Oryctolagus cuniculus: one gene and its partners. The main gene of each other region encodes a partner of the protein of the gene in region 2 in a complex. Links are inferred from orthologs where the notes say so. Each region holds a gene or a part of one and is shown on either strand. Other genes may lie near its edges. The genes, in order: MKS1, CC2D2A, TMEM231, AHI1, B9D2, TMEM107 and TCTN1.

Evidence for each region.
Region 1: CC2D2A (region 2) and MKS1 share a complex: the UniProt entries of both Homo sapiens proteins name them as parts of the tectonic-like complex. The link is inferred for Oryctolagus cuniculus from reciprocal best matches to the Homo sapiens genes CC2D2A and MKS1.
Region 3: CC2D2A (region 2) and TMEM231 share a complex: the UniProt entries of both Homo sapiens proteins name them as parts of the tectonic-like complex. The link is inferred for Oryctolagus cuniculus from reciprocal best matches to the Homo sapiens genes CC2D2A and TMEM231.
Region 4: CC2D2A (region 2) and AHI1 share a complex: the UniProt entries of both Homo sapiens proteins name them as parts of the tectonic-like complex. The link is inferred for Oryctolagus cuniculus from reciprocal best matches to the Homo sapiens genes CC2D2A and AHI1.
Region 5: CC2D2A (region 2) and B9D2 share a complex: the UniProt entries of both Homo sapiens proteins name them as parts of the tectonic-like complex. The link is inferred for Oryctolagus cuniculus from reciprocal best matches to the Homo sapiens genes CC2D2A and B9D2.
Region 6: CC2D2A (region 2) and TMEM107 share a complex: the UniProt entries of both Homo sapiens proteins name them as parts of the tectonic-like complex. The link is inferred for Oryctolagus cuniculus from reciprocal best matches to the Homo sapiens genes CC2D2A and TMEM107.
Region 7: CC2D2A (region 2) and TCTN1 share a complex: the UniProt entries of both Homo sapiens proteins name them as parts of the tectonic-like complex. The link is inferred for Oryctolagus cuniculus from reciprocal best matches to the Homo sapiens genes CC2D2A and TCTN1.

The regions. Positions count from the first base shown.
Region 1 is NC_091448.1:33,643,639-33,648,066, reverse strand, and holds the start of MKS1 (tectonic-like complex member MKS1), read left to right. Parts: upstream 1-1,504; 5' UTR 1,505-1,581; coding exon 1,582-1,661; intron 1,662-2,028; coding exon 2,029-2,138; intron 2,139-3,594; coding exon 3,595-3,665; intron 3,666-4,064; coding exon 4,065-4,220; intron 4,221-4,428. UniProt on the Homo sapiens protein: Component of the tectonic-like complex, a complex localized at the transition zone of primary cilia and acting as a barrier that prevents diffusion of transmembrane proteins between the cilia and plasma membranes.
Region 2 is NC_091433.1:10,626,673-10,630,312, forward strand, and holds part of CC2D2A (coiled-coil and C2 domain-containing protein 2A), read left to right. Parts: intron 1-2,462; coding exon 2,463-2,585; intron 2,586-3,640. UniProt on the Homo sapiens protein: Component of the tectonic-like complex, a complex localized at the transition zone of primary cilia and acting as a barrier that prevents diffusion of transmembrane proteins between the cilia and plasma membranes.
Region 3 is NC_091449.1:57,934,770-57,938,866, reverse strand, and holds the start of TMEM231 (transmembrane protein 231), read left to right. Parts: upstream 1-1,267; 5' UTR 1,268-1,370; coding exon 1,371-1,509; intron 1,510-1,602; coding exon 1,603-1,772; intron 1,773-4,097. UniProt on the Homo sapiens protein: Transmembrane component of the tectonic-like complex, a complex localized at the transition zone of primary cilia and acting as a barrier that prevents diffusion of transmembrane proteins between the cilia and plasma membranes.
Region 4 is NC_091436.1:33,406,575-33,410,964, forward strand, and holds the start of AHI1 (jouberin), read left to right. Parts: upstream 1-1,578; 5' UTR 1,579-1,717; intron 1,718-1,977; 5' UTR 1,978-2,039; intron 2,040-4,390. UniProt on the Homo sapiens protein: Involved in vesicle trafficking and required for ciliogenesis, formation of primary non-motile cilium, and recruitment of RAB8A to the basal body of primary cilium.
Region 5 is NC_091449.1:13,268,624-13,272,937, reverse strand, and holds the start of B9D2 (B9 domain-containing protein 2), read right to left. Parts: upstream 2,816-4,314; 5' UTR 2,588-2,815; intron 2,514-2,587; exon of another isoform or gene 2,292-2,513; intron 2,219-2,291; 5' UTR 2,215-2,218; coding exon 2,127-2,214; intron 1-2,126. UniProt on the Homo sapiens protein: Component of the tectonic-like complex, a complex localized at the transition zone of primary cilia and acting as a barrier that prevents diffusion of transmembrane proteins between the cilia and plasma membranes.
Region 6 is NC_091448.1:52,667,110-52,671,194, forward strand, and holds the start of TMEM107 (transmembrane protein 107), read right to left. Parts: upstream 2,921-4,085; 5' UTR 2,696-2,920; intron 2,475-2,695; 5' UTR 1,101-2,474; coding exon 1,014-1,100; intron 899-1,013; coding exon 836-898; coding exon of another isoform or gene 831-835; intron 740-830; coding exon 639-739; intron 70-638; coding exon 1-69. UniProt on the Homo sapiens protein: Plays a role in cilia formation and embryonic patterning. Requires for normal Sonic hedgehog (Shh) signaling in the neural tube and acts in combination with GLI2 and GLI3 to pattern ventral and intermediate neuronal cell types.
Region 7 is NC_091452.1:8,300,999-8,304,638, reverse strand, and holds part of TCTN1 (tectonic-1), read right to left. Parts: intron 511-3,640; coding exon 385-510; intron 41-384; coding exon 1-40. UniProt on the Homo sapiens protein: Component of the tectonic-like complex, a complex localized at the transition zone of primary cilia and acting as a barrier that prevents diffusion of transmembrane proteins between the cilia and plasma membranes.

The DNA of each region.
Region 1 (4,428 bases), on a different chromosome or scaffold from region 2:
AGGGAAGGGGTTCATGGACCCATTGAATCCTATTCATGAATCTCAATTTTAAGAATTCTGATTTATGGAAATCAGTAAACAAAGAGAAAACATAAAGACCCAGTTAACCTTTAAAAACATAGTACTAAGTATGGTTAGTTACACCAATAGCTTATATTTCTACACCATGCAGTACAGTAACTAGTTTACATGTAATTATGTCAGACTGACTTTCCTAGGTGGTTAGGCTTCAAAAGGCTGGAATCCTAATGCTTTTATCACTAACTAGAGTGAAGCCTTAGTGAATTCTTAAGCCCTTGGCCTTCACTAACTTCATCTGTTAAATGGGAATAAGGGGCCGGTGCTGTGGCATAGCGGGTAAAGCAGTTACCTGCAGTGCCAGCATCCCGCTTGGGCACTGGTTCTAGTCCCGGCTGTTCCACTTCTGATCCAGCTCTCTACTGTGGCCTGGGATAGCAGTAGAAGATGGCCCAAGTCCTTGGGCCCCTGCACCCGCGTAGGAGACCTGGAAGAAGCTCCTGGCTCTGGGCTTCAGATCAGCAGCTCCAGCCATTGCGGCCAACTGGGCAGTGAACCAGTGGATGGAAGACCTCTCTGTCTCTCTGCCTCTCCTTTTCTCTGTGTGTAACTCTGACTTTCAAGTAAATAAATAAATCTTTTAAAAAAATAAATGGGGATAAAAATGGACTTAGGGTTTCCATGAGGATTGGGAACAATGCCAACAAAGTTCCCAGGCTAAATTAGCTCCTACCTAAATGGTGCTATTTATGGAGAGTCCTTGGCAAGGCACAAACAGCAGCTATGGCACCCCAGGTGTTCAAGGCCATGCAATCAAACTGATTCCTGAATTCAGGGGACAACTGCTAACCCTGTTGGGGAAGTAGCAGATGTTAAAGGGAGCCAGCTGAGGTTAGGGCATGTCCTGAATGTCACTCTGTGGGCTTCTCAGAGGGCCAGGGCAGCACAGCAGTTAGTTTAATAATCTGGAACTAACACACAGGGGAGGAACCTGTGCCATGACTACATCTCTTCTTTCCTGCTGCTGTCTTCCTTGTTTTAACTGTTGGCCCTCCCTGTTTTTTCCTTCTCTGGCCCAGAGAATACCAACACAACGACTAATAAGTAGGACACCCGCACCCCCCCTCCCCCGCCCCTTGAAGAATGTGCGTTCGTGTCTGGGGAGTGCCACCACCTTCCCTGATTCCTTTGGGATTAATGGGTGCATTCTTTCAGTCTCCTCCGCCCGTTTTTCTTGCGTTCAGCGGAAGACAGTACGGCACAGTGGGAAAACAGGTCTAGTCTCATCACCCTGCATTTACGCCAAGTGGGCTGACGGCTGTGCCTGGCCCCTCATTTGTACAGCGCCTTAAGTCCCGCCTCAGGAGTGAGTGATCCTCGTTCGCACAAATGGTAAAGCGGACATTCGCAGGCTCCTGCACTGCCCGCTCTGGGGCGCTAGGGGGCGACGCCGCGGCGGGAAGGGCGGGTTGCGTGCGTAGCGTCTCCGCCCCAGCGTCTGCGTTGCCAGGGGAACTGGGGGCGGTGTGCTTTCCGGCGCAGTCGTTGCGCGTCGCAGATATCATGGCGGAGACCGTCTGGAGTACTGACACCGGGGAAGCAGTGTATCGCTCCCGGGACCCTGTGCGCAACCTGCGCCTCCGGTAGTCGCGCCGCCCCAGCCCGGGGTGCTATGCTTTTATGCCCTTCGAGCCTGAACTTGTCGTTCTTCTGAGGCCCCCACTTGCGCTTACAATCCCGATCTTCCTCCCTGGTCTCTCTACATCGCTCTGCATTCCCCAGATCTTCTGTACGTAGGGCTTCCAAGCTCGCCTTCCACACCCAGCCAGGTCGTTTCAAGGCCTGTCGCTCTCCGATTCCTCAAGCCCTGGCTCCGCAGTAGTCCTCTCACCCTCTCTTCCCCGTAGGGCCCACGCCCCACCCGGCGCCTGCCCTGTGTTTTGTATTTCCCATGCTTGCTCTGCGTTGTGTGTGTTGTAACGCGTATTCGAGCTTCTGTTTTCTTCACAGAGTCCACCTGCAAAGAATCACCTCAGGCAGCTTTCTTCATTACCAGCCTGCGGCCCAGCCTCGGAAGGACCTCATAGACTTGGCCACCTTCAGGCCTCATCCCACTGCCAGTGGGTGTCACGGTGGAGTCGCAGCCCCCTGGGGACCTGGGCGAGGGAGGGCCTGGGGGGTAGAGGTTCCCGTTAGGACAGAAGAGACCCAGGCCTGTGGTGTTCAGAGAAAGCTGCACCTTTTTTTTTTTTTTTTTTTTTTAAGTATTTTTATTTCTTTGAAAGACAGAGTTACAAAGAGAGGTAGAGACAGAGAGAGGTCTTCCATCTGCTGGTTCACTTCCCAAATGACCACAATGGCCAGAGCTGAGCTGATCCAAAGCCAGGAGCCAGGAACTTCTTCCAGGTCTCCCATGCGGGTGCAGAGGCCCAAGGACTTGGGCCATCTTCTACTGCTTTCCCAGGCCATAGCAGAGAGCTGTGATTGGAAGAGGAGCAGCCGGGACACGAACCGGCACCCATTTGGGATGCCGGCACTGCAGGCTGGGGCTTTAACCCACTGTGCCACAGCGCCGGCCCCAACTGCACCTTTCTTACCTAGGAGAAATGGAAGGCAAAGAGATTGTGTTGCTTGCCTAAGGTCACATAGTTGGAGCCTGCACTTGAACCAAGGTGGTGTTAACTACTTCATCGTGTTATTTGTGGAAATTGAATAAGATACGATTCCTGCTATCAAGATACTGAGGCAAATTGTGGTCCAGTATAGTGGCAAAAGACAGATAGCGTATATCTGATGTTATAAATGGGCCTGGCAACCGTACCATTTATGGCTTTTTGTTCGTTTGTCTAAGAAAGATATGCTCAAACTCTACATATGCATGTAAATACTTTTAAAAACAATTTTACGATTGAAGACTGCTTGCAGACTGTGCGTTTGAACACCCACAGTGTTCTTGTGGTTCTCCTTATCTGGGAAGCCATAGGTGTGAGGAACAGAGGCTGGTGCTTGTATTGGGCCATTAGTGTTTCTGCCTTTTGTTTCTCTGCACTCAGAAGTATTCCTCTGTGAAATGGGGGTTTTGAAGCTGTGTCTCTGAAAAAGATACTCACCCCTGGAGTGTGTTAGATCTGGTTCTTTAACAAATCATTTATTTGCCTTCCCTGCCCTCTCCTGACACTTGGTCTCTGACATGATTGTGATTCTAGCTGTATGGCTTCAGGAACAATTAAAATGAAAATGCCAGGGTTCTTACCTAGCAAATGCAGGCAGCTGGCATTGAAGAAGAGCTGGCTGGTCAACCTATATCCTAGGCTCAGTTCCTGACAATGAGTTAAATTGACTACTTCCTGGAAGGCAGAACTACATTTTATTCAAATTAGAATAGTGATTAAGACTTTGTGGGTTTTAATCTTGGCTTCAACTCCTGCTAACTCCAGTGTATCCTTTGTCTACATTGAATGCTTAATAAATCACTGAACTCCTGCTGGTTTTGTGGCAAACATAAGAGTAGGGGCTTTGGTTACAATCAACCTCAGAGCAAGAAATGGTGGTGACGTAACTCTGTTGTCTTTGCAGGTGGACATCGCCCAGAGGAAGATGAAGATGAGGAGGTGGTCATTGGGTGGCAGCAGAAGCTCTTTAGCCAGGTGAGCCGGTGTCGTTCACTGCGTGGTCTCCCTCCACCTGGCTGGTTGTACATTGCCAAAGTGATTTCTGGGATGGTCGTAGCAATTTGTACCTCCCTCTGTTGTGTTTACAAGGGCAGTGTAATATAGTGACCGCCACCGCTCAGTGTTATGACCCTGGGTGAGGCACGTTTCCCCACCGTGGACCCTACGCCACCTATAACAATGCGGTTGGACTAGAGCTTCACCCCTTTGCTCTCTAACATTCTTGGGTCCCCTGCCCTCCATTGGTTTAAATCTATGAGAATTAATTATGGAGCTATGTCAGATAATATCAGCTCTCTAGGACTGATTTGGTAGTAGTTCTAGGATCAGAATTTTGAGGTATCTCGGATGTCTGTTTCCTTGTGGCGACCTCAGTTTGAAGTAGATCTGTACCAGAATGAAGCAGCCTGTCAGAGCCCTTTGGATTACCAGTACCGGCAAGAGATCCTGAAGCTGGAGCAGTCGGGGGGCAGGAAGAACCGACGAATCTTTACCTACACCGACTCTGACCGCTACACCAATTTGGAGGAGGTATTGTTCTTCCCAAGGCCCTGTAGCTTCCTTCTTTGCCTCCCCTGGCTTTTTGGCTTCACTGGGTTCTGGGTGCTAAATCGGAAGCCTGGCAAGGGAGGAGATCCATAGGCTGTCTGGAAACTGCCGTGAGCTGCTGGCAGCCAAGCTGAGGCAGAGTGGGCAGAGTGCAGGTGGTGTGGCTGCTGCTCCCGTCTCCGCCTGCTGG
Region 2 (3,640 bases):
CCTCTTGCCTCTACCCACTTCTTTCTAGTTTCAAACAGTAAGCAAATTTCTGCTGAGACAGAAGACAAATTGTCACTCTTCTACTGTCTTCCCAATACATCATAGCCAAAACCTTCAAAATGGCCTACAAAGCCTCCTTGATCTGACATCCACCCTGCCTACCCCTGCCTTCTCCCCTTCCTTTGCTGTTATCTTTCCAACGTGCCCACTCCTCTAAAGCCACTTTGTATTCCTTGTTATTCAACAATCAAACACACTTCGCATTTGCTATTTCCTTTGCATAAATGACCACCAATGCCTTCCCAATACCCCTCCCACCTTTACTGATTAGATTCACAAACTTCTCCCTCATTTCTTGCATTTCTGATCAAATGTCGGTTTTTTTTTCCCCCAGGAAAAATTCCTTGCCCATCAAAATTTCTTCTGTTCCTGCAACTTAGTTTTCTCCATGGCCTGTGCACATTTAATTATTATCATAATATCGTAAAAACCCAACTCCAAACTAAATGGCTTCAAGTATCTATTTTCATAGATTTGTGGGTTAGCTGGGAAACTTGGCTGCGGCTGAGCAGCTCTGCTTCATGTTTACTATGGAACTCAGGGCCCTGACAGTGGCAGAGGCACAACAGGGCAAAGCCCCTTAGCCTAGACTCAGGGGTGACACAACAACAAACCAAAGCCAAGTGGCAGGGAAGTGTTTCTCATCTTTCTTAATGGAAGCAACTGCAAAGTAACCTGAAAAAAGATAGCCATAGAGGAAGAGAATTGAAGCTAATGATACAATCTATCTTATCCTTCAACACCATCTATATCCCATGTACTTACTTGCTGATTTGTTTGCTGTATCTTTTTGAAGATTATTTACTTGAAAGAGAGGAAGAGAGAGAGCTCTTTGGTCCACTGGTTCACTCCACAAATGGCTGTAATAGCCTGAGCTGAGCTGGTTGGGAGCCAAGAGCTTCTTCTAGGTCTCTCACGTGGGTGCAGGGGCCCAGGGAATTGGGCCATCCTCCACTGTTCTCCAGGCACACCAGCAGAGAGCTGGATTGGAAGTGGAGCGGCCAGAACTCAAACCAGCATCCATATGGATGCCAGCATCACAGGCAGTGGCTCTACCCACAATGCTGGCCCCACATTTTTTTTTTTTTTTAAGTTCTATTTTATTTGAAAAGCAGAGTTAGAAAAGGAGAGACAAGAGATCTTTCATCTGTTGGTTCACTCCCCAGATGGCTACAACAGCCAAAGCTGGGCCAGACAGAAGCCAGGAGCTTCTTCTGGGTCTCCCACGTGGGTGCAGGGGCCCAAGTACCTGGACCATCTTCTGCTGCTTTAGCACATTAGCAGGGAGCTGGATTGGAGGTGAAACAGCAGAGACTCAATTCGGTGCCCTTATGGGAAAGGCAGCTTTATCTGCTGTGCTGCAATGCCTGCCTCCGATATATCATCTCATTACTCATTAGATACTTTTTTTTTTTTTTTTTTTTTGACAGGCAGAGTAGACAGACAGAAAGGTCTTCCTTTGCCGTTGGTTCACCCTCCAATGGCCGGAGTGCTGCGGCTGGTGCACCGTGCTGATCCGATGGCAGGAGCCAGGTGCTTCTCCTGGTCTCCCATGGGGTGCGGGGCCCAAGCACTTGGACCATCCTCCACTGCACTCCCGGGCCACAGCAAAGAGCTGGCCTGGAAGAGGGGCAACCTGGACAGAATCCAGCGCCCCGACCGGGACTAGAACCTGGTGGTGCCGGCGCCGCAGGCGGAGGATTAGCCTAGTGAGCCGTGGCGCCGGCCTAGATACTCCTTAGAACTGTTTCGTTCACTACTTAACCCGATTAATAAACCTAGGACTGAACACCAGTTAGATGAAAACTTAATCTGTGCTAGACATATCATTCAATATGACTAGAATATGCCACGAGGTAAGCTAGTGCTAAAGACTGAATGGCAAGTAACGCCTATGGTGAACATTCTCAAGGCGAAAGTTTAAAACAATAGTGAAGATGCAGATAAATAACCAGGCAGTTACAAACTGACAAATAATGACAGAACAGCTAATAGTTATTGAGCACTTACTACATATCTATGCATTATTCTAATAAGTACAGGTAAATCAACTCTGAATCGCTTAGCCTTATGAAGTAGTTGTTATTATTCCATTCTTATAGATGAGAAAACTGAGGAACAAAAGTTAGATAAATCATCCAAGGTCAGACAATTGAAAAGTGTTAGGGTCAAAATTCAAGTGCTTGTAGTCTAGTTCCACAACCAACATGCCACACTGCCTCAACAAGACAGGTGCGGAGGGCTGTAGAAACAAAGAGGTACACATTTAATTTTGGGAGCTGGAAAAGCAGGGTCAGGAAAGAAAACATGTACAGTCTATGTGTCCATACAATATGCACACACACCAGAGACGTGTGTGTATTTTGGTTAACATATATGCTAATATGGTATTGTTTTTTTAGGTTTGGTTTAATATTCAACAATATGATTCTCCACTAAGGATAAATTTTGATGTTACCAAGCCCAAGCTCTGGAAATCTTTCTTTTCAAGAAGCCTTCCATACCCTGGCCTTTCCAGTGTTCAGGTACAATTTTTTGTTTATTTTTAAAGATTTATTTATCTGAAAGGCCAAATTACAGGGAGCAGAGGTAGAGACAGACAGAGGTCTTCATTTGCTAGTTCACTCCCCAAACGGCTTCAGCCGGGCCAATCCAAAGCCAGGAGTCTGAAGCTTCTTCTAGGTCTCCCAGATGGGTGCAGGGGCCCAACGACTTGGGCCATCTTTTTCAGCTCTCCCAGGCCATAGCAGAGAGCTGGATTGGAAGTGGAGCAGCCAGGACTTGAACCGGCATCCATATGGGATGCTGGCACTGCAGGTGGCAGCTTTACCCACTATGCCACAGCATCTGCTCCAGGTATAATTCTTTTACTAATAATAATAGAATATAGAAAAGAAAATAAAGTGTATTATACTATGTAGCTATATTTTTCCCCTTAATCCCACTCCTGGGTAAGTCTACAACCATATTGGTTTTTCAAAGTTACCTGAGCTCCTCATATGTCTTTATGTAGATGTGAAAAGATCAATATGCATTTTAATGTCAAACAGTTTTGATATAAAAAATTCCCATAATACCACAAAATATATTCCATTTTTTTAAATGGTGATCAATTTGCTAATTCAGTTTCATGACTGCTAATCAAACATGAAATCAAATGTCAGATATGATCCCTTAGAGGCTTATAATTTAGAGGGTCCTGGCCAGTGGAAGACGGTAAGTGGTAAGCCTGAGTTGTTTACTAAAACTTTTCTTCCTATCAAACAAATCAGAATACACATGCATCTGTGTATCAAACCTTTAAAAAAAAAAAAAAAAACTTCAAAAAATACTGCCCTAGAGAAATTTTACCGTATGTGAGAAGATGACATATACAAGATTTTGTGAACTGGAATGACAGGAGAAAAATTGCTACATGCTAGAATGTTAGGAGTTAAAATGAATCAATATAATGAATCAGGGCTGGCTCTGTAAACAGGAAATGCCGCCACTTGTGGTGCCAGCATCCCACATGGGCACCAGTTCCAGTTCTGGCTGCTCTACTTCCAATCCAGCTCCCTGCTAATGTGCTTAGGGAAGC
Region 3 (4,097 bases), on a different chromosome or scaffold from region 2:
GAACTGGCACCCATATGGGGTGCTGGCCCTGCAGGCGGTGGCTTTACCCACTACACCACAGCACCGGCCCCCACACTGACTCCTGATCCTGCAACTGGAGTCTTCAGGGCCTTTGGATGGAGAACTTGGCTGTGGACCATTGGTTTTATTATTTATTTTTCTTTTTTTTTGTTGTTTGCTTACTTTTTTTTTTCTTTTCCTTTCTTTTGGATCATAGGTTTTAAAAATCCTTCCACCCTGTTCAAAATACTGGCTTGGCAGAGAAGGCGGTGGGCAATCAATTAGCAATAAACCAATGTTATCTTTGGGAAGTACGACTTAACCCACTGGGGCAGCACTGTGGTGCAGCGGGTTAAGCCACCATCTGCAGGGCCAGCATCCCTTGTGGGTGCCAACTGAGTCCTGGCTGCTCCACTTCCAATCCACTTTCCACCTGGGAGAGCAGCAGAGGAGGGGCCAAGTGCTTGGGCCCCTGCACCCCAGTGGGAGACCCAGTTGAAGCTCCTGGCTCCTGTTTTTGGCCTGGCCCAGTCCTGGCTGCTGCGGCCATTTGGGGAGTGAACCAGCGGATGGACGATCTCTCTCCCCTTCTCCCTGTAACTCTTTCAAATAAATTATTAAACCTTAAAAAAAAAAAAAAAAGGCTTAACCCACTGCACAACACGTCCCAGAGGGGAGTGCCAAGTCCCAGCTGGTCGGCTTCCACTCCAGCTTCCTGCTCGGGCATCCTGGGAGGCAGATGATGATGGCCCAGATATTCAGGCCCCTGCCCTTAAGTGGGAAACCCAGAGGGAGTTCCTGGCTCCTCGGGCCATTTGGGGGAGCGAACCAGCAGTTGAAAGATCTCTGCCTCCCTCTGTCACTCTTTCAAATAAATATTTTTAAAAAGAAATGTATCTTGTTTAGTAGCTCCCTCTGAAACCGGCAGCCGAACCTGCACCCAATACAGGTAACAATGTACGTAGTAATGACCCTGCCCGCCCCAGAGCCGAGGGTTTGGGTCCTGTGCGCTGTCCTGCTTCCGGAGCCACAGAACACAGAGGCGGAGCAACCCGGCCTTGGCCTTCGTCCAGGACCAGGTCGAGGAGCGAGGCCACGCGTGTGCGACCTGCGGGCATCAGCGTGGACCACTCAGCCGTCCTCAGCCGTCCCGAAGCAAAACACGCAACGCCCCCCTCTCGGTGGCCCGTCCACTGGCTGACCACGCCCCTCTCCAGGTAGCTCCGCCCCTTCTAGAGGCCCGCGCCGCTACTATTGGTCCTCCTCCCGGCGCCGCCGGTTGCCGTGGAGACCACGACGATGGCAGCCGGGAACAGCCAAACTTGGTCGTCCCTTCTCGGTTTGCGTAGGGGTCTCGGCGTGCGCCGTCCATGGCGCTGTACCAGCTCTACTCCCACCCGGCCGAGCGCGGCTACCGCGCGGGGCTCTGCTCCAAGGCAGCGCTGTTCCTGCTCCTGGCCGCCGCGCTCACCTACATCCCGCCGCTGCTGGTGGCCTTCCGGAGCCACGGTGAGCTTGCTAGGCCGGTGCGCGCCACCGCCTCCGCTCGGGACGGCCTGCCTGACCTGTCCCCCTCTCCCTCTCACGCCCTTCTTCTCTCAGGGTTTTGGCTGAAGCGGAGCAGCTACGAGGAGCAGCCGACCGTGCGCTTCCAACACCAGGTACTGCTCGTGGCCCTGCTGGGACCGGAGCGCGACGGCTTCCTGGCCTGGAGCACCTTCCCCGCCTTCAACCGGCTGCAGGGGGATCGCCTGCGCGTCCCGCTCGTCTCGGTGCGTGGCTCCCGCCTGGAATTCCGCTTCCCCCAGACGCCCAGGTACCCGGGCAGCGCTGCGTGCTGACCCGGGCCGGGCACGGTGCGCGCTCGGGGTCCCGCGGTGTCGCCGCGTTCACGCGGCGCGGCGGAAGCTGGGGGTCGGGGGCGGGCGTCTCCGGGCAGGACTGACCCTCGGAGACCGGGCGCCCCGCACCTGTTCCCCGGCAGGGCCCCGGCGGAGGGAGCCTGCCCCACGTGATCTCAGAGGCTGCTCCAGCGTGCATCTGTCCGGGGTAAAATTGAGACTTTTTCTTTAAGAGGGCCGAAACTTCTAGTTTTCCTTCTTCCACGTCCTTGAGGTGAGTGGCCTACAAGACAAACTCGTGTAAAAAATGTTCCCAGCAAAAAGATGATAGGTCGTATGAATAACTAGAAAGTTTGTTACAGATAGTTTTTCTCTGGTTACTTCTGAAATTTATTGGCTTTTTTTTTTTTTTAAGATTTATTATGTATTTGAAAATGAGAGTTGCACAGAGAAAGGAGAGGCAAAGCGAGAGAGAGAGAGGTCTTCCTGATGGTTCACTCCCCAGTTGGCCGCAACGGCCAGAGCTGCACCGATCCAAAGCCAGGAGCCAGGAGGTTCTTCCAGGTCTCCCAAGTGGGTGCAGGGGCCCAAGCACTTGGACCATCTTCTACTGCTTTCCCAGGCCACAGCAGAGAGCTGGATCGGAAGTGGAGCAGCCGAGTCTCAAACCTGCACCCATAAGGGATACCGGTGCTTCAGGCCAGGGCGTTAACCCGCTGCGCCACAGTGCCAGCCCCTATTGACTTATTTTAATTAGGAAAGTACCCAGTTTCCCACGTCGGTGTCAGGGGCCCAGGTACTTGGGCCGTCTTCTGCTGCTTTCCCAGGAACAGTGGCAGGAAGCAGGATTGGAAGTGGAGCCGCCAAGACTTGAACCGGTGCCCATAGGGGATGCTGGCGCTGCAGGCAGAGGTCAAACCCACTGTGCCACAGCACTAGCCCCAGGTTTTTTCTCCACATGTTTATATTCCTCTCTATCATGTGCTTCTGGTCATTTGAGTCTAAGAAATACCATGCAGGCTTGAGATAATTGTGAAGACAAGGATAAACCATTAAGTTTCATTCATTCATTGTTTTTACGGGTTCGTGCAACACAGCTGCTGTTGGCCTCTTAGCTCTGCAACCAGAAACCAACCACTCCCTTCAGTGCACCGCCCTGGTCCCCCCTTGCATCTGGCGTGCAGTTCCAATTTTAATGAGAAGCCAAAACTAACTCTTAATGTTTATGGTACCCATACCATGAGATCACTTTCATACTGGGTAATTTTGGGGCTGGCACTGTGGTACAGCGGGTTAAAGCCCTGGCATTCCATATGGTCACTGGTTCGAATCCTGGCTGCCCCACTTCCGATCCAGCTCCCTGCTAATGTGCCTGGGAAAGCAGTGGAGGATGGCCCGGTGCTTGCGGCCCTGTATCCATGTGGGAGACCTGGAATAAGCTTCTGGTTCCTGGCTTCAGCATGTCCGAGCCCTGGCCATCGTGCCATTTGGGGAGTGTACCACCGAATGGAATTTTTTTTTTTTTTTTTTTTTTTGACAGGCAGAGTGGACAGTGAGAGAGAGAGACAGAGAGAAAGGTCTTCCTTTGCCGTTGGTTCACCCTCCAATGGCCGCCGCGGCCGGCGCGCTGCGGCCGGCACACCGCGCTGATCCGATGGCAGGAGCCAGGAGCCAGGTGCTTCTCCTGGTCTCCCATGGGGTGCAGGGCCCAAGCACCTGGGCCATCCTCCACTGCACTCCCTGGCCACAGCAGAGGGCTGGCCTGGAAGAGGGGCAACCGGGACAGAATCCGGCGCCCCGACCGGGACTAGAACCCGGTGTGCCGGCGCCGCTAGGCGGAGGATTAGCCTAGTGAGCCGCGGCGCCGGCCTCGAATGGAATATTTTCTTCCCCTACCCCCTACAGCCAGTGCGCCACAATGCTAGCCCTGGTTCTTAATTCTTTTTTTTTTTTTTTTTTTTAGATTTATTTATTTATTTGAAAGTCAGAGTTACACAGAGAGAAAAGGAAAGGCAGAGAGAGAGAGAGGTCTTCCATCGCTGGTTCCTTCCTCAATTGGGCACGACAGTGAGAGCTGCACCAGTCCAAAGCCAGGAGCCAGGAGCTTCTGCCAGGTCTGCCACACAGGTGCAGGGGCCCAAGGACTTGGGCCATCTTCTACTGCTTTCCCAGGCCACCGCAGAGAGCTGGATTGGAAGTGGAGCAACTGGGACTCGAACCAGCACCTGGGATGCCGACCCTGCAGACGGTAGCTTT
Region 4 (4,390 bases), on a different chromosome or scaffold from region 2:
CACTGGGATTGGCAGAAAGACAGAATGCACATTGGTGTAAGAAGGTGCCTACAGGCATCTTACTCAAACACTGGGAGGATGATGGCAGGCTGAAGAGATTAAAGCAACATAAAAAGCCAGGAGTAGGTTTGCTGGATAGGAAGGTAGACATTAGCCTATGGGAAAGGGCCCAAACAAGAAGTACATGTGGAAAGGAAGGGAGCAGCCTTAGAAGCAAGCCTTGGAAGGCACCCAGTGTTTCCAGAAAGTCCTATCCATATCTGACAACCTTGTAGGGGTTGCCAGCCTTCCCTCCGGAGATCTCTCAGGACACTCTTCCTGGCCCTTTGCCAAGGTGGCTCTTAAATCTGGCAATAAAACCTTGCGAGGAATTTCACGAACTTCACCCCCAAAAAACCATTTGCCCAGCAATATCTGCCCCCTCGCCCACTCCCCAAAAAGGGAGCGGGAAGGCGACACAGCAGAAAGGGACCCCTAACTCACAGTAACCCCAGTCTGCATGTAGGCAATGCACTTGGTTTCTTTGGCGAGCCGAGCTGCCCACCATCTCGGATGAACTACCTCGTGAAACTTGGCTAGCTTGCTTACCGCTACTGTCTCCCACCTGAAATTCTTTTCTTACAGGATACACAAAATTCTTCCAGCCAGTTTTGGAGGGAAAAGTAGCACAGTTTGGTAATATTTCTTTCTCATCGCCTCCTCAGAGGTTCTGGAGAAACACTTGCCATCATTTATAAGATGCAGTGATGCCAGTGAGAATGGAGAAGCTGGCAACCAGAGAAATACACAAACTCTCTGGCCCTACAAATGAGGCAACAGGTTTCTGGTGCGTGGCTGCCAACTGCAGAAAACGGCCTCTCACTAAGCGTGGACGAGTAAGGCGTCTGGTGTTTTTCCATCCCTGGTGACTCAGAACCAAAGATGGCGCCTGTGGCAGAAATCTGCAAGGTGGGAGGGGGTCATCAGGTGTAGAAAGATGACGTTTTAATTTCTGTTCTACTTTCAAGGCAACTCAGCGCCAGACAAATCGTGGATAAGTTTTCCCGAAGACTCTGGAGTACAACTCCTCATTCTCCACGCTCTCAACGCGCGTTTCACTTTGTGGGGGCGACCACGTGGGGTGCGACAAGTCTGTTTCTTGGCTTCCTCGCTTCATTCATTCAAGGTTCCTATCTTGGGCGGCTTCCAAGACCGCCTCCCCGCCTGCTTTTGCCCCACTTTTTCCCGCGCTTGCTTTTTTCCGGACGGAGGCCAAGCTCCGGCGGCTCTGAGGCGGCACCCGCGCATTCCCGCCTCCCCTCTGCTGGCCTGGGGATGAGATTCCTGCCCCTTCTAGAACCGCGGAGGCGCGGCCCCGGGGCGCGCGCCCGGCGGCAGGCTGAGGGGCGCGGGCAGACAGGCACTGCAGCAACTCCGGGCCCGCGGCGGAGGCGGAGAGAGCCTGGGGGCGGGGCCGCGGGAAGGGCGCTCCCGCAGGGCCCCCGTCCAGGCCTGGAGCCGGGCCGCATTGGTTGTCATGGGAACGGCGGCGTAGGCCGGCGCTGACGTCACCGGCGGCGCGCTGCCCGCACTGCGGCACCGAGCCCGCTCTCAGAGCCGGTGTTGCTGGCGGCTCCCGAGGCTGCGTAGGCTCCTCGCCCTCCCTGCTTGGGGCTGGGAGCCGCTTCGCGCCGCCCGGGGTGTAGGCTTGTGCGGGAGACGCGGCTCTGCGCTCTGGGTGAGTATCGTGTGGGTGCGCTGGTGGCGGGAGCCCGGACCCGGGTGTTCGGCCTACCTACCCCGGCCCCTCTGGAGGGGTGGCGGCGTTGGGGGCTCCCTCTGCGCCTCCGCAGGCCGAGCGGCCCAGAGCGGCCCAGCGCGGCCCGGGAAGGGGGCGACTTCTCCGGCGTCGGAGCGTCCGGCGTGCTGTTCCGATGCTGCCTCTCCCAGCCCGGATTCTGGCTCAGATGCGTAATAAGCGTGTTTATTTCCTTATAGAGTGTCAACCTGGCGCTGAATGTTGAACCTGTGAAGTGCCTTCTTAATGACACCCAGAAAAGGTGACGGATACGTTACGTTTCTAAGAAAAGAGTCAAATTCTGTTAGAGGCGTTTTGATAAACACAGAAAGGGGATGAGAGCCTTCCCGAGTGTCAGCGCGGCGTGTCAGCCTTAACCGGGAAAGTGGAGACAGGGCTTGCTCTTCTTTGGAGAGAGAGATGCTAACAGTTCCTTCACCTGTTGCGTTTACGCTCGCTGTTATTGCGAGCAAGAGCGCCAGTTAGGAGGATTCCGGGACGTGTTTAAAAGTCTCTTTGGAAGAATTGCAGATGCCACAGGTGTCTGAAACCGCATTTAGGATCTTTATGAAGGCGATTGTTGATTTACTAAGGGTTCTGATTTCTGTTCCTCCTTGGTACAGGTTTGGAGCCGGAGTGAATTCTGCGAGCCTGTCTGCTTCTCCCTCCCCCTTGATCTGTAGTCACATATTGGCTGCTGATCAGGTGGTCAGGGAGAAAGACGAAACGTAATCTCGGCTAAATTTTGCTACGCAGTATCTCTTAGAAGCTTTTGTGAAAGGGTTTGTGAGGGAGAAATGTTAACATCACGGGGTATATGAGATTTGGGAATATGTTTCCAAGTCAGACTTTAAATTTTGAAGCTGTTACTAATCAAATATTAATCATTAATTCTTCTAATGTGTTTGCTGTACATACTAAATAACATTTAGAGATGATGACTTGTAATGTTCTGTTATTAAATAGTATCTCTTATTTCAGTGGTCATTAAAATATTAAATGATAGTAAATGTAAATACAAAATTTACTTAATTGTGTATTGTGTAATTATTTTTAAAATAATTGTAGACATCGAGCACCTGCAGTTTACTGATTATGTTGTTTTCTGATATTTCTTTTTCTCCTTATGATTAAAATAGGGGCCACTTTAGTTTCCTAGACAAGGAAGAAACCAAGGCTTAATGAAACTGGCTTACCCAAGGCCACATGAAGTAGCATGACAGGAGCTCAAGCCTGAGTTTTTCCTATCTGGAGCCATAATTGCTGCCTTTTAAAAATGGAGATACTTATATAAAGATAGTGCAGGCTTGTTCTTCCAAAAGCCAGTAGTTGGGGGAGGGGGTTGCGGGATAGAGGGAGCAGCCAGTTTAGAACCATTTGTGCCAGGGTGAAAAGGGAAGTTGGAAGATCCAGCTGTGCTTTGGGGGAAGGTGCTCCCCAGGGAAGGTGCCATTTGCATTTAGTGTCAGAGTGTCAAAGCAGGGCAGGCTTTTCTCAGGAGAGAAGTGGGTATGTGACCTGCTACAAAGGCAGGAGAGAGTTTGGCGTTGGTCAGGCCCTGCAAGTAGTTTCACGTGGCTGGAGCCCAGAAGCTGTGTGAAGGTGTGGCGGTGAAGGGGCTGTGAGGAATGGCAAAGGATCCAGTCATTAATAGTCGTCTTCTCAGTGGTAAGGACTTGCCAGTGCTTTCCACCAGTCGATTGGGAACTGGTGAGGAATTTTAAAGCAATCACACACCACCATCACCTTTGTGTTTTAGAAAATGATCCTGAATGCAGTGCAGAGGGGTGGAGGGGAGGGTGGTCATGAGAAGCCTGAAAACAGTCTCAAGCAGACATCAAAATCCTAACAGTCTTTTCACCCCTGAAAGCTACTGCCTCATACTATTGCATCTCGAGTGGGAAGAAGACAGTTGGAAGCAAAATTCTAGAAAGAATTGCCTGCGTACCTTTACCGCAGGTCTTGCCTTTCATTCCTCAACCTGTGGCTCCCAGCTGCTGCCCCTCCATAAACAGCTTTGGCACACGTGACTTCATGATTACAGATCCAGCGGGCACTCCCAAAGTGTGCAGCAACTGTAGACACCACACAGCATAGACCTTTCTGAAAACTCTTTCCTTCTGTGATACTTTTCTGTCCCTGTGTTTCACCTACCTCCTCGTTCTAGAATTCAATCTTTGGCTTTTTATTTTCTTGCAACCATTGTACAAATATCTATAAATTATTCCCAAACCATCAGCCTAGGTCTCCTGCTGGATTAATGGATTAATATATTATTTTGCCTCCCAAACATAATATGATTATATGTCCTTTGTGTTCTCTCTCATATATATGTATATATCACACAGTAGTAAAGCAGCTCTCTCTTGAAGCATGTACCATGCAGTAGGCTTTGTGCCAACAGTTTTCCTTGCATATACTCATTTAATCTTTACAAAAACCCAGTGAATGATATTATTATTCTCTTTTGAAAGATGAGGAAATTGAGGTCCTTGTCAAATGGAGCTGGAATTTGAACCAAGGACCTGACGGTGGAATTGATGTTTGTAGCTACTTGGTGTCCTTCAGATACACAGCTCAAACTGCCCCACACAATCCCCTTAGGAAGTTCCT
Region 5 (4,314 bases), on a different chromosome or scaffold from region 2:
CTGAAGCTGGGAGCTGGGAACACAACCCATGTCTCCTACGTAAGCGGGAGGAACCCAGTCACTTAGGCCATCCCTGCTGCCTGCCAGGGCTGGCATTAGCAGGGAGCTAAGCCAGCAGCCAGGTGTGCGGCGGGATGTGCAGGTCCTAACCCCGAGCTAAACACCCGCCCTCTATAGCCATTGCCTCTCTCTCTCCCCAGCACTGTCGCCACTGGAAATCACTGAGTTAAGTTTCTTCAGCGGCTTATATAGTGTCTGACGCTCGTAGAATGAGCTTCAGGAGAGCTTGGCCCATGCACATGGCGGGATCCCCAGTGCGTGGTATACAGAAGGTGGTCGATACATATTTTTTGGGACAATTAAGTGACCCTAGAAGCTATGTGTGCTATGATTACCATTTTCCAAGTACAGAAACAGGCTCTGAGAAGGAAGTCACTTGGTTAATTATTCCATGAACATTTATTGAGCACCTAGGGTATGCCAAGCCTGTTCTCCACTCTGGGGATACAGCAGTGACCACAGCACCCAAAGATCCCCAAGCGCAGAAGTCTGTAAAATGTCCAACTGCAGCGACCAGGCCCCTCGGCCACTGTCTCTGAGCTCCCTGCTGGATTCAATGCCCCAAAGCCACCTGCGATAATAAAAGCCAAGCATGACTCCCTCTGGCCTTGGTGAGGGAAGCCCTGAGTCAGGCTGCGTAGACACAAGATTACTTAAACAGCCCCAAGAAAAGGACAGCAGCCCGGGATCACAGAGCAGGTGAGTGCTGGGGTCCCGGGTAGACATGGAGTCTGACTCCTGAGCCCGACTCTGATCCTGCGACTTCACCCATCCAAGTCAGGTCCAAGGGACCCAAGCCCGAGACGCAGCCACGTCTACCTCATAGGTTGTTACTGGGGCTGGGCAGCCACGTGCCTGGGCTTCACTAATGGGACCCTGTCGGAGTCACCCGCGAGCCAGGCACACAGCACCAGCCAGCCCTGCTCTGCGTGCTGCGCATGCTCCCCTAGGCCTGGCAAAGATCCGCGAGGCACACGTTGTTACTGCTCCCATGTGCACACAAGGAAGCAGACGCACAAACAAGGCCCTAACGTCACCTATTAATAAGAGGCTGTCTACGGTGCCAGCTTCCCACATGGGCCCCATTTGAGCCCCAGCTGCTCCACTTCCGATCCAGCTCTCTACTATGGCCTGGGAAAGCAGGAGAAGATGGCCCAAGTGCTTGGGCCCCTGCACCCACGTGGGAGACCCAACAACTCCTGGTTCCAAATTCGCTCAGCTCTGGCCGTTGCAGCCATTTGAGGGATGAACCAGCGAATGGAAGACTCTCTCTCTCTCTCTCTCTCTCTCTCTGCCTCAGCCTCTGTAACTCTGCCTTTCAAATAGATAAATAAACCTTAAAAAACATAAACACCTGGTTAGGACCCAGGCAGTCTGTGCTCCTAACCTCGACGCCACACCGCCTCTCAGCTGCTATCCACACCGTGCCGTTCCTCTCAGACAAGGAGACCGAGGGCTGGAGAGGTCAAGTCCAGAGGCCACAGATACATACATGGGGACTTAGTATCTGAACCCAGATGTGGCTGCCTATGACCCTGGCCATCACACTGCACCTCTACAAGGTCTGGCCTCCATGCAGACCTACAGAAACACTGGGTCTCCAAGTCCCTGCTGGGCCGTGTGGACTTGGATGATTGCTGCCTTCTCAGAGCGAAAGGCATTCTGACGACAGGATGTGGCCTCTCCTCTGTAAGTCTGGGGTGCAAACTTCTACTTTACAGTAAGAACTCAATAAATGGAGGCTGCTAGTCAAAGAACGAGAAAGCTGGGGAGGATCCCAGGACACACCCCCAAGGCAGCAAGTGGAGTTAACAGGAGCGCTCTGACATGAAGCGTGTGGATGGGGTCTCCCCCTAGCCCATCATCGTCAATGGCCATGCATGCCGAGGGTGGGAGCCAGGGTCCCCGGAGACGGGGCAGGAAGGAAGTGCGGGCCTCACGCGGCCAGCCTTGGCCAGGGCCGGGAGTGCTGAAAGCCCATGGGGAGAGGAGGACCCGGGGTGGGGCGGAGGGTCCAGGGAGAGCGCGGGGTCTTGGTGGGCAGTGACCAGGCCTGGGGGGAATACCTGTGTGGATGCCCCACTTGCAGAAGAGGCTACTTTCCGAGAACCCGGTGGCCCCCATGATCTGCCCGATCACGTGCACCTCAGCCATGGCGCTGGGAGGGAAAAGAAACAATCAGCTCTGAGTAGGGAAACTGAGGCCCAAGCAAGGGGCAGAAGGCCACCAACCTGGTTTTGTCAACCCTCTGAGGATGCAGAGTTATCCACCGACTCTGTCTCCCCGGGAGATGGGGGGAGTAGCCCTAGACTTGGGAACCGGTGCCTAACTATGCCCTCCTTAAACCTCTTCCTGACCTGGCTAAGTCCCGCTAAGGGGCCGAGAGCTCCACCCACAGCCATCAAAGCTCCGCCTCCCCGCGGCTGATAGCCCCGCCACAGGCTCGACGACGCATGCGTATTGAATCGAGGCCCGCCTCCGAACACCTCGGCCCCGCCCCTACTCGTTGCGCATGCGTCACTCCTACCTCACAGAGCTTAACGGCTAGTGGGAGCGAATGCGGCAGCCGGATGCTGGTTCTGGGCCGACTCCGTCCTCTTCGCGGGCGCCAGCGACGCCGGCCTCGCGCCTCCCGTGGGACCTCCCTGACAGCAAGGGCGCTAAGGCGCGAACCTCCGCGACCGCCCTCGCCTCAGGCTCCCTGGCCGTTGCTGGGACAACAGCAGGCTCCTCCCCTGGCCTTGCCCCCGCCCTGCACGCGGCCGATTGGTGCTCGCTGTCCTCGGGGGCGGGGCAATGCCGTGATGGACATCTCTCCGTAGCCTCTCCCAAGCCCCGGCCCCGGGATCCGCCGTTGGGGGCGTGGTCGGGCAGTTGCCATCTTGAGTGTGGCCGGGAAGTTTGAGCGCCGACTGTTTGTGCTGCAGAGCCTCTCCAGGAAATGTGTCAAAATAAGCTTCGCGGCCCGCCTCCTCCCCCTAAAGAACACCTGTCTCCCGTCCTGAACCCCACATGAGAGACTTGAGCCTGAGCTCGGGGGAATTCCCTCGGGTCATTCTGTGCATCCCCCGGCCTCGACTTCGGAAACAACCTCTTCTCAGACACTCAGAGGCTGGGGCGGGGCTTCCCTTCCCTTGCGGAGTTCCCCAGGCTGCTCAAGGCCCAGCGGTCCGGGCCCTCCCAGCGACTGCACGTTCGCCGCCAGTGCTGTGAGCGAGCGGCGTCCCCGGGCCCAGCGGTCCGGGCCGTGGGGCGGGTGCACGCGGGCGCCTGAGGTCCTGAGCGCCTCTCCCCGCCTCCGCGTCCAGGGCAGCCTGGTCCTCAGGACCGGGAGTCCCGCCCAGCCGCGCCTCCTACCGCGGGGGCTGCACACGTGGAGGACCGGGGAGGCAGCAAGGTGCACAGGACAGCATGCACACAGGTAGCGCCATCCGAGAAAGAAGGTTCCTGACAGACAGCTGGGAACGCCACGGTCGTGCGTGCCTGCTCCGTGCAGCCCTGGTAACGAGGACTGCAGGGCGTCAGGTCCTGGTCCTCGCGGACACACGGGGTGGGGTACACAGGGCTTCTGCTTCATGAAGACTTGAGGCCAGCGTCATTTGCATCTATTCCCGTTTGTCCCCCATCAGGGTGAATGACAGCACCCAGCTTGTGGGATTGTTCCAGACTGAAGGAGTCACCGTCTATGGATGTCTTCAATAGGCCCGCAGGGGCCGGCTTGGTGGCGCCTGCACCTCAGAGCGCCCGCTGAGTCCCAGATTCCTGGGGTGCGTCTGAGCAGACAGCAGGCAGTGGACTCAGGAGCTTGGAGGGCGGAATGCAGCACGCGCTCCTGGCTTTGAATTGGTCCAGGCCCTGATGTTGCCCCCTCTGAGGAGGTAACCAGCAAATGGCAGATTTCCTTTTTCATTCTCTTCTCTCTCACCTGGCACTCTGCCTTTTAAATTAATACTTAATAAAAAAAAAATCAAACTACCTGCTGGCACTTTGGTGCAGTGGGTTAAAGCCAGGGCCTGCAGCGCCGGCATCCCATATGGGCGCCAGTTCAAGGCCAGCTGCTCCACTTCCGATCCAGCTCTCTGCTGTGGCCTGGGAAAGCAGTGGAAGATGGCCCAAGTCCTTAGGCCCCTGCACCCACGTGGGAAACCCGGAAGAGGCTTCTGGCTCCTGGCTTAGGATCGGGTCAGCCCCAGTCGTTGCAGCCAATTGGGGAGTGAACCAGCACATGCAAGACCTCTCTCTCTGCAACTCCTT
Region 6 (4,085 bases), on a different chromosome or scaffold from region 2:
TCCCAGCGCTCGAATATGAAGAACGACAGGGCTACAGATGCACTACAGTGCGCTGCGATGGCTTGTGGGCGACACACAGGAGTCAAGGAAAGTCTTGGGGCCACAACAGCGACGGGCTATGGCAGGCCAGTGGTGGAGCTCCCAGGCCTTGTGCGACGGCGGGAGTCAGCAGCCCTGCCTTCTGATTTTAACAGGCCCACGTGTAGCGGCCTGCGCTGAGCCTGCACTGCCGAGACCCCAGGCTACCCTCACCCCACATGGAGGGGCCAGCCTGCACCCCCGAGGGGAGGTCAGAGCAGGCCCCCATGGACCCCACAGGAATGCGGACAGCGACTTGATCCTCTCTGCTGGAATCACTCTCCACCAGGAGGCCCGCAACTGGAGAGTCAAGCGCCTCCCTCAATCCTTGGCTCTTTTACCCCCTCCTAGAGGATAGTGGGGTGTGTGTGTGTGTGTGTGTGTGTCTGCCTCCGCCTCACCCCCATTTACCTCCAGGGCCCGGTGCACAGCGGCATCCACAACTGTTTGAGGATTGTGTCAAATCCCTGCACTGCCTAAGCAGAGGCGGGGCTCCTGGGGGGAAGGGGGTCGCTGAAGGGAGTCGCGCTGGAAACGGGTCGTGGGGGCAGAAAGGATACAGATGAGGCTCTGGGTGCTGTTGAACATGGACACTCCTGAGAGGAAGCCGGCCAGCTCCACGGCAAAGAGGCCCAGGGTGACCGAGAGGGCGGCCACCAGCCTGCAGAGAGGAAGGGGAGCGGCTCAGGACCCCCGGCCTCCGGGACTCCCACCGCCTCTTCCTTCGAACCCCCACCCCCCCAAGAGCTCACTGCACGTCCTGCTTCTCATACTCCTCGGGGGTGAATCGGAGGGGCAGGCAGGCCTGGACGTTGCTGTCCTGGGGAGCGGGCAGAAAAGGAAAGGAAGTGAGAGAGGCCGGCTGAGACCCCGGGCGGGGTGGGCGCGGCGACCACGGCGAGATGGCGACGCGGAGTGGCGGCCGTGGGTCTTACCCGCGACCAGAATAAGGTGATGACGACCACCAGATGCGCCAGCAGCGTCAGGAAGCGGGAGGGCACGAGCCCCGAGATCCGGCTCATGCTCCTCAGGGCCGCGGGCGGCGGCGCTGGGAAACCTCTCCCGGCCCGCGGCCTTCGCGCGCCTCAGGGGCCGCCCCGTTGCCTTGGTAACTGCGTACGCGGACCGTGCGCCTCGGGTTCTGAAGATCTCGCGAGAGCCGTAAATTCTCGAGCCGCCGTCGTGCAAGTGCGCCGTGTTCGGGGACCCCGCTGCGGCCGCCAGCCTCCTAACCGGAGGACTACGTCCGGGGGTTCGCTGGCTGCTCAGGTCCGGAGCGGCGCGGCCCCAGGCTGCATTGCCGGGAATGGCCTGTCCGCGGAGGAGGTGCTCGCGGACTGCTGCGGCCGGCGTGCCGGTCTTAGGTTGGAGGCTCAGACGCGGTCTTCCCTTTCCGTCCTCGTAGCTTCCTTGTGCCCTGAGCCCAACGTGGAACGTTCACTGGACCTACCTTGTCCGGCAGGCCCGTTGTCACGGAGCCCTTGGTGGTCGGAGCACCCCAGACATCTTTGCCGGGTTCGGTGAGGGATTTGCATAGTGCAGAAGATGGTGGCAGCCTCAGCCTAGGGACGGCCCCGCCGGGACTGGACAGGGCGAGCGTGGACGAAGCGTCCCGCACAGGAGGTTTGGAGCTGCCTGGGACGCAAGGCTCAGCTCTGGTTCCGGGGTCTCCGAGGTACCGGCCGCACGGGCTCCAGGAAGACCCCTGCTGCTTGCGCACACCCAAGGGGCTTCCCTCCCCGCTTCTGAGGAGAGTAACCCCAGCCTTCAAGTCAGCCTGCACTGCAAAGCCTAGTGGTAGGCAGCCCAAAAGGAGGTGGAGCGTGGTCGCGGCAGGCCTTGCAGCCACCAGGCGCGACGTGGTCAGATTCGTATTCTCCACGACCCAGGTTGCAATATGGAGAGACTAACGAGGAAGCCATAGAAGTATCCAGAAAGGACAGGGTGAAGCAAAGACGATGGAGCAAAGCAGAAGGATTGGGGAGAGGGTCTGGCTCGGGGCCTGTGGGTGGGTGAGGAAAAGGGAGAGTCAAGGTGACCCAAGGATTTTGCGTTCAACAGCTGGAGGTTTGGAGCATTCTGCTCAGTAGGCGTTCTGCCTAGGAGACGGGCTAGACAGTACAAACCGAGTTCTCAGGTCCTTAGGTGTGGACTCATGAACAGGGAGTGGGCAGCCTATGTCTGCTTTGTCCTTGTCCACAACCTTGGTTTATAGAAACTTGCCTCAGAGAAAGTCGTTTCTTGCCTGGGTTTTAGAGCCTGCTGGTGGCCATGGGCTGTGCTGCGGGTGACCAGCTGTCCTCCCGTAGGTGGCCACTCACTCCAGGGCTGGATTCGGTATCTCAGCATTTGAATTGGTGACAAAAGAACTTGCAAACTTTTCATTTTTTGGCATCCTAGGAAATTTCAAACACAACGTAAAAATGAAACAGTATAACAAACCCCTGGGAGGGCCACTGCTCTGCCTCAACAGTTGTCAGCACGTGGTCAGCTTTGTTGCCCCCTCCCCTCCACCACAACCCCACACGTGTGCATTGGGGTACAAATAAAGTCCACTTGGCTGACATGTCTGAAATCTCTGTTAATCTTGGGTTTGCCCTCCTCCCCATCACCTCACCTTCCTTCTTTTCTTGCTGAAGATACTGGGCCACGTGTGGCGTCATTTCATTCTCTCCTGGCACTGTGTTTCCTGCAAACTGATGGTCAGGTCTAATGGTTGATCTATGTGTCATTCAGTTTTCTGGTAAGATCACATCCCGAGGGATGGTTTGTACTTTCTGTTCACCTCATCAGGAATCCTGCTTGTCTGTGTGTCTGTCTGTCTGTGGTGCTGAAGTCTGAGTGGTGGCTTCGGGTGCGGTCAGGCTGAGCCACCCGTGATAAAATTCTTCATCCATTCTCACCTAATGGTACCACGGGTCCTCATTGCCTAACTGCATGATTTCAATAGCGATTGCAAAATGGGGATGGCCTAATTCGAGCCCTCTTCTGCATCTACCAGCTAGAATTCTTTTATCAGTAAGAATTTTCCATGAGATACGAGTCATACAGGAAAGGCAGGATAAATGGGTCCTTTTTTTTTTTTTCCATTATTTGCCAGTTTTCAGAATCCCGGTTCAGTAGTGTCCTACAAACACAACTAGATCTTTTTAGTAGCATGGTGACCACATAGATTTTAACATCTTTTGTGTATTTCAATCTACCTTTTTTTTTTTTTATAACTAAAGAACATTTATTTTCCACTAAGAGTTTGCCTTGAGGATGTAACTAAACTGAGCCACCCCCCACCCCATCTCTAAGGGTTAGTACAGTGACTGTTATAAAGCAGATCTCAACAGTCTGAAGCTCTGGAACCAACATTAACTGACAAAAAAATTCCATCTAAATCCTCATAAAAATGTTTAAGTAAAAAAAAAAAAAAAGGGAAGAAAAAGAAAAGAAAAAAGGGGCAATGGGGGTTTCAGATTGAACAACATTCTCACACTTCATCTGATACATTCAATCTGGCTAGAGTGTACCAAGTGGAAACAGGATCACTATAATACAAAACTCCCACTACAGCACGCTGTACACACCTGTGTTCCAAGCCCACCCCCATCCCCCTACTGCTTCCACTCCATTATTTTCCCGCCTGTTGGGCCTGCCGGCGGAGGAGCACATAGATCTTCTCTTTGATCCAGTCTTTGTTATAAGGCTGGTATGTCTGGGTATCAGCCCGGTAAACAAGGCAGCTGAGGTCTGCCAGATCATCAATAAAATCAAACAACTGACTGATATCGTATGTGATAGACGGACTGTTGGGATTCATTCTTTTCAGATGTTCCTCATACATTTTACAAATACCTTCCATGCATTCATTCACAGATTCATAGTCAGCATAAGTTCTGCCTTCTGGCCTCTTGGTAGGCTGTACCAGCAAAATGGTATGAGACATCGCGCCAAACTCTTCTCTTTGCAGCCGCTGCCGACACCGCCGCCGCACACGAGCTTCTCATTCTACCTTTTTT
Region 7 (3,640 bases), on a different chromosome or scaffold from region 2:
CAGTGGAGAGAAGAGTCGTCCTTTCACTTCCTGAGTGCGTCTGCAGCAAAAAGGCAGATGCAAGTCCTGCCCCCGGCCTGCGCCCAGGAGAACACACGGGATCTCTCGCTCCCTCCCTCGCTCAACCACTGCCTGCTGGCGAGGCCGATGGACACAAAGGGCTGCTTGGCCACTAAGCTGCCTGTGAGGGACCATTTTACTCAGGTTGTCCTGACATCCAATATCAAGTCTAAACAAGAATACTAATGCAAATAAAACCATGCTCAAACTAAGTAAAAGGCAAAGAATGACTTGAATTTCTCTCAGCATCCAAATTGTTAAATTACAATCCTTTAAAACTCCCCAGCCACACTTGAGTTTGCTCGAGGCTACAGGGAGACGCACCTCAGGGAGCGAGGAGGAGAGGAGACGCGCGGTCACGTTCACGATTTTGGCCTGTGGGTTCAGCAAGGACCCGTATTTAGTCCACTTCACTTCTATAACCAGAGCCACAGGGAGCTGGCAAGAATCCTGCAGAACAAAACGCCACTCATCAGTGTGAATCTTGCACAACCTCAGACTGAACCTGCAGTTCAGAGTTCTGATTAGGAGATGTTTCACACATCCAAGGTGTTCTGAACAACAGAATGAATAGATGGGAAGCTCAGGCACAAACACTTCTACACCGAGAGCGTGCCTTCCCATCCCCTCCTGCTTCTGCTGGGAGCCACGGCAACCCCAAGCCAGCTAGGGAACCCTGGGGCCTTAACAGCTTGCTGGGCCTTCAGCTACCTGTTCTCAGCTGTCTGCCTCGCAGGTACTGCGAGAGGCTGGCTGGCACGAGGGGCCAGGAGAGAATGGGGGTATTCACAGAACAGAACCTGAAGGCTCATCGTGCCAAGATGCGCTGAGCGGAAACCCAAGGGCTGGCTTCTTATTTTTGTTTCCTAATTTCTTCAGTAGGCAGCACTGTGATATTTGGATACGTGGGCAGTGCTCGTGTGCTGTCAGACACTAACCACTCACGTGCGCTGAGCCTGCCGTGGTCAAGCTGCCTGAGCTGAGGCTCAACACTACAGGAGTTGGATCTGTGGCCTCTGCCCCAGGCTCTTTGCTTGGTCAGCCCCAAGGGAAAACAGGCAAGTGTGCCTTCCAGACCTCCCTCCTGCTTCAGCGGGCAGCCGTGGTATCTGTTGACGCTGCCTGACGGGCAGATGGGGACTCTGTTACACTGTGCTACTTCTGAGTGTGCCTGGAATTTTTCCATGATATAGATTGTTTTAGACACACCTCAGGACATGAGTGGCTAAGTGGGCTTCCTGACTTTGGCACCTGCCCGCAAGGCACTGCCTTTAAGAACCTTGTGCTGTGGCATAGTAGGTTAGGCCTCTACCTGCAATGCCAGCATCCATATGGATACAGGTTCAAATCCCGGCTGCTCCAATTTTGATCTAGCTCCTGGCTGATGGCCTGGGAAAGCAGTGGAAGATGGCCCAATTGCCTGGGCCCCTGCCCTCACATGGGAGACCCAGAAGCTCCTGGCTTCAGATCAGCCCAGCTCTGGCTATTGCGGCCATTTGGGGAGTAACCAGTGGATGGAAGACCTCTCTCCCTGTAACTCTACCTCTCAAATAAAATCTGAAAAGAAACTTGCAAGCAAATGGAGCCAGCATTAAGCTGCAGCCTGCAGTGCCAGCATCCCATATGAGCGCTGATTTGAGTCCCAGCTGTTCCACTTCTGATGTCGCTCCCTGCTAATGTGCCTGGGAAAGAAGTGGAAGGTGACCCAAGTCCTTGGGCCCCTGCACCCACGTGGGAGACCTGGATGGAGTTCCAGGCGCCTGGCTTCAGCCTGCTCAGCCCTGGCTGTTGTGGCCATTTACATTTAGGCAATGAACCAGCAACCCCTAGGTGTATCAGGCCATCCGGATAGGAGGCAGTGGGTGACAGAAGTGTGGAGACGCTCATGCAGCTGCTACCTACGTGGCCGGAACAGAACCCACTGCAGGCCCTCGGAGCACCCTGGCCACTTGCTGGCAGGTGCCAAAGCGGTGCCAAAGCCAGGAACACCCTGGCCAGCACCCTGCGCTGCTGCCCCTCCTCCCAAGCTGCCATCCTTCTGGAGGGCAAAAAAGAACAGGACGTCTTCCCAGCTTGCCAAGAGGCCGGCAACTGGCTGCGTTCACCAAGGCAGCAGAGAAGGACAGGAGTCAGCAGGACTGAGTGATCCTGGGTCTCTGCTGGAGACTTGCGGGGGAGGGCAGGATCGGAGCTCGTGAGCTGGTCCTCACCCCGTGGCGCCCTTGCTATACATGTGCTAAGCAGATAATGAGCCCGAGGAACTGTGACAGAGAAACACTGGGTGATTAGGGGATAAGCTGGGGAGTGCGCCTCTGGTGATGGACAGGGCCCGGCCCACGCGCTGACGGCAGAGACAAAAGAAAAGGTGGGCAGAAGACTCACACGTGCCCAGGAGCCTATTTGTAGGAAGTCAATTTCCATTAAACCCTTTGGGGAACTTTGGAATTAAAAGCTCACGCGTGGGCTGCGCTGTGGAACAGGAACAAAGGCTGGGACGGCGATGTGGATGGGAGGAAGCCGCCACCTTGGAGACAGGCCTCACATGCAGCTTACTGCACCCCAAGATGCCCGGAGGCTCACCTAACACCCGCAAACAGGGACAAAGTCGCGGTGCTTGCTGAGTAGCCCCTACCAGTGTTTCAGATTGGGGGACGGCCGCATATACATAATGGGGATAGGAGCCGAGTCCAAACACAATTTCATATACACCTCAAACGCAGCTGAAGGTAATTTTATATCATGTTCTTACTGCACCTGTTCTTTTGTTTGGTTTTTGAGACACAGAGAAAGTTCCTGTTTGCTGGTTCACTCTCCAAATACCCACAATAGGTAAAGCCGGGCCAGGCCCGTCAGAAGCCTAGAACTCCAGCTAGGCTCCCCCGTGATGGCAGGGCTCAGTCACTTAGGCCATCGCCTGCTGCCTCCCAGGGTCTGGATCAGGAGGAAGCTAGCATCGGGAGCCATACACGGGACTTGAACCCAGGCGCTCTAATACAGACTATAGGAATCCTAACCAGCATCTTACCTGCTAGGCCAAACACCTGCCCTGCACCTGCAGCCCATCACAAGGTGTGGGATTTCTCACTTGTGGCATTACATCAGCACTCAAAGTCCAGGTTAGGAATGGCCGACCCGTACCACCAGGATGGCCAGCAGCAGCCCCATTTAGGAAAGGAACACTAGCTGCTGTGCCAGGGACCAAACGAGCTCCCCCTCCCGACAAGGGCCAGGTCTGTACTGTGACTGTCATTCCCACTGCACAGGAAAGAGGTTCCGACCTCCAAACTGCTGGCCACAGGCAACACTGCTCATGCGGCAAACTCAGTATTACAGATCCAGGCCAGTCTGCTCACAGCACCCAGGCTCCTACCCAGACTTGCCCACCTCACTCCCTGCGGGGCCCCACCACCCGGCCCAGGAGAGGGAGAGACTACCGGCCTGTGGCCTTCAACTGCCCCCCCCCTTTTTTTTTTAAATTTTTTTTTTGACAGGCAGAGTGGACAGTGAGAGAGAGAGACAGAGAGAAAGGTCTTCCTTTGCCGTTGGTTCACCCTCCAATGGCCGCCGCGGCCGGCGCGCT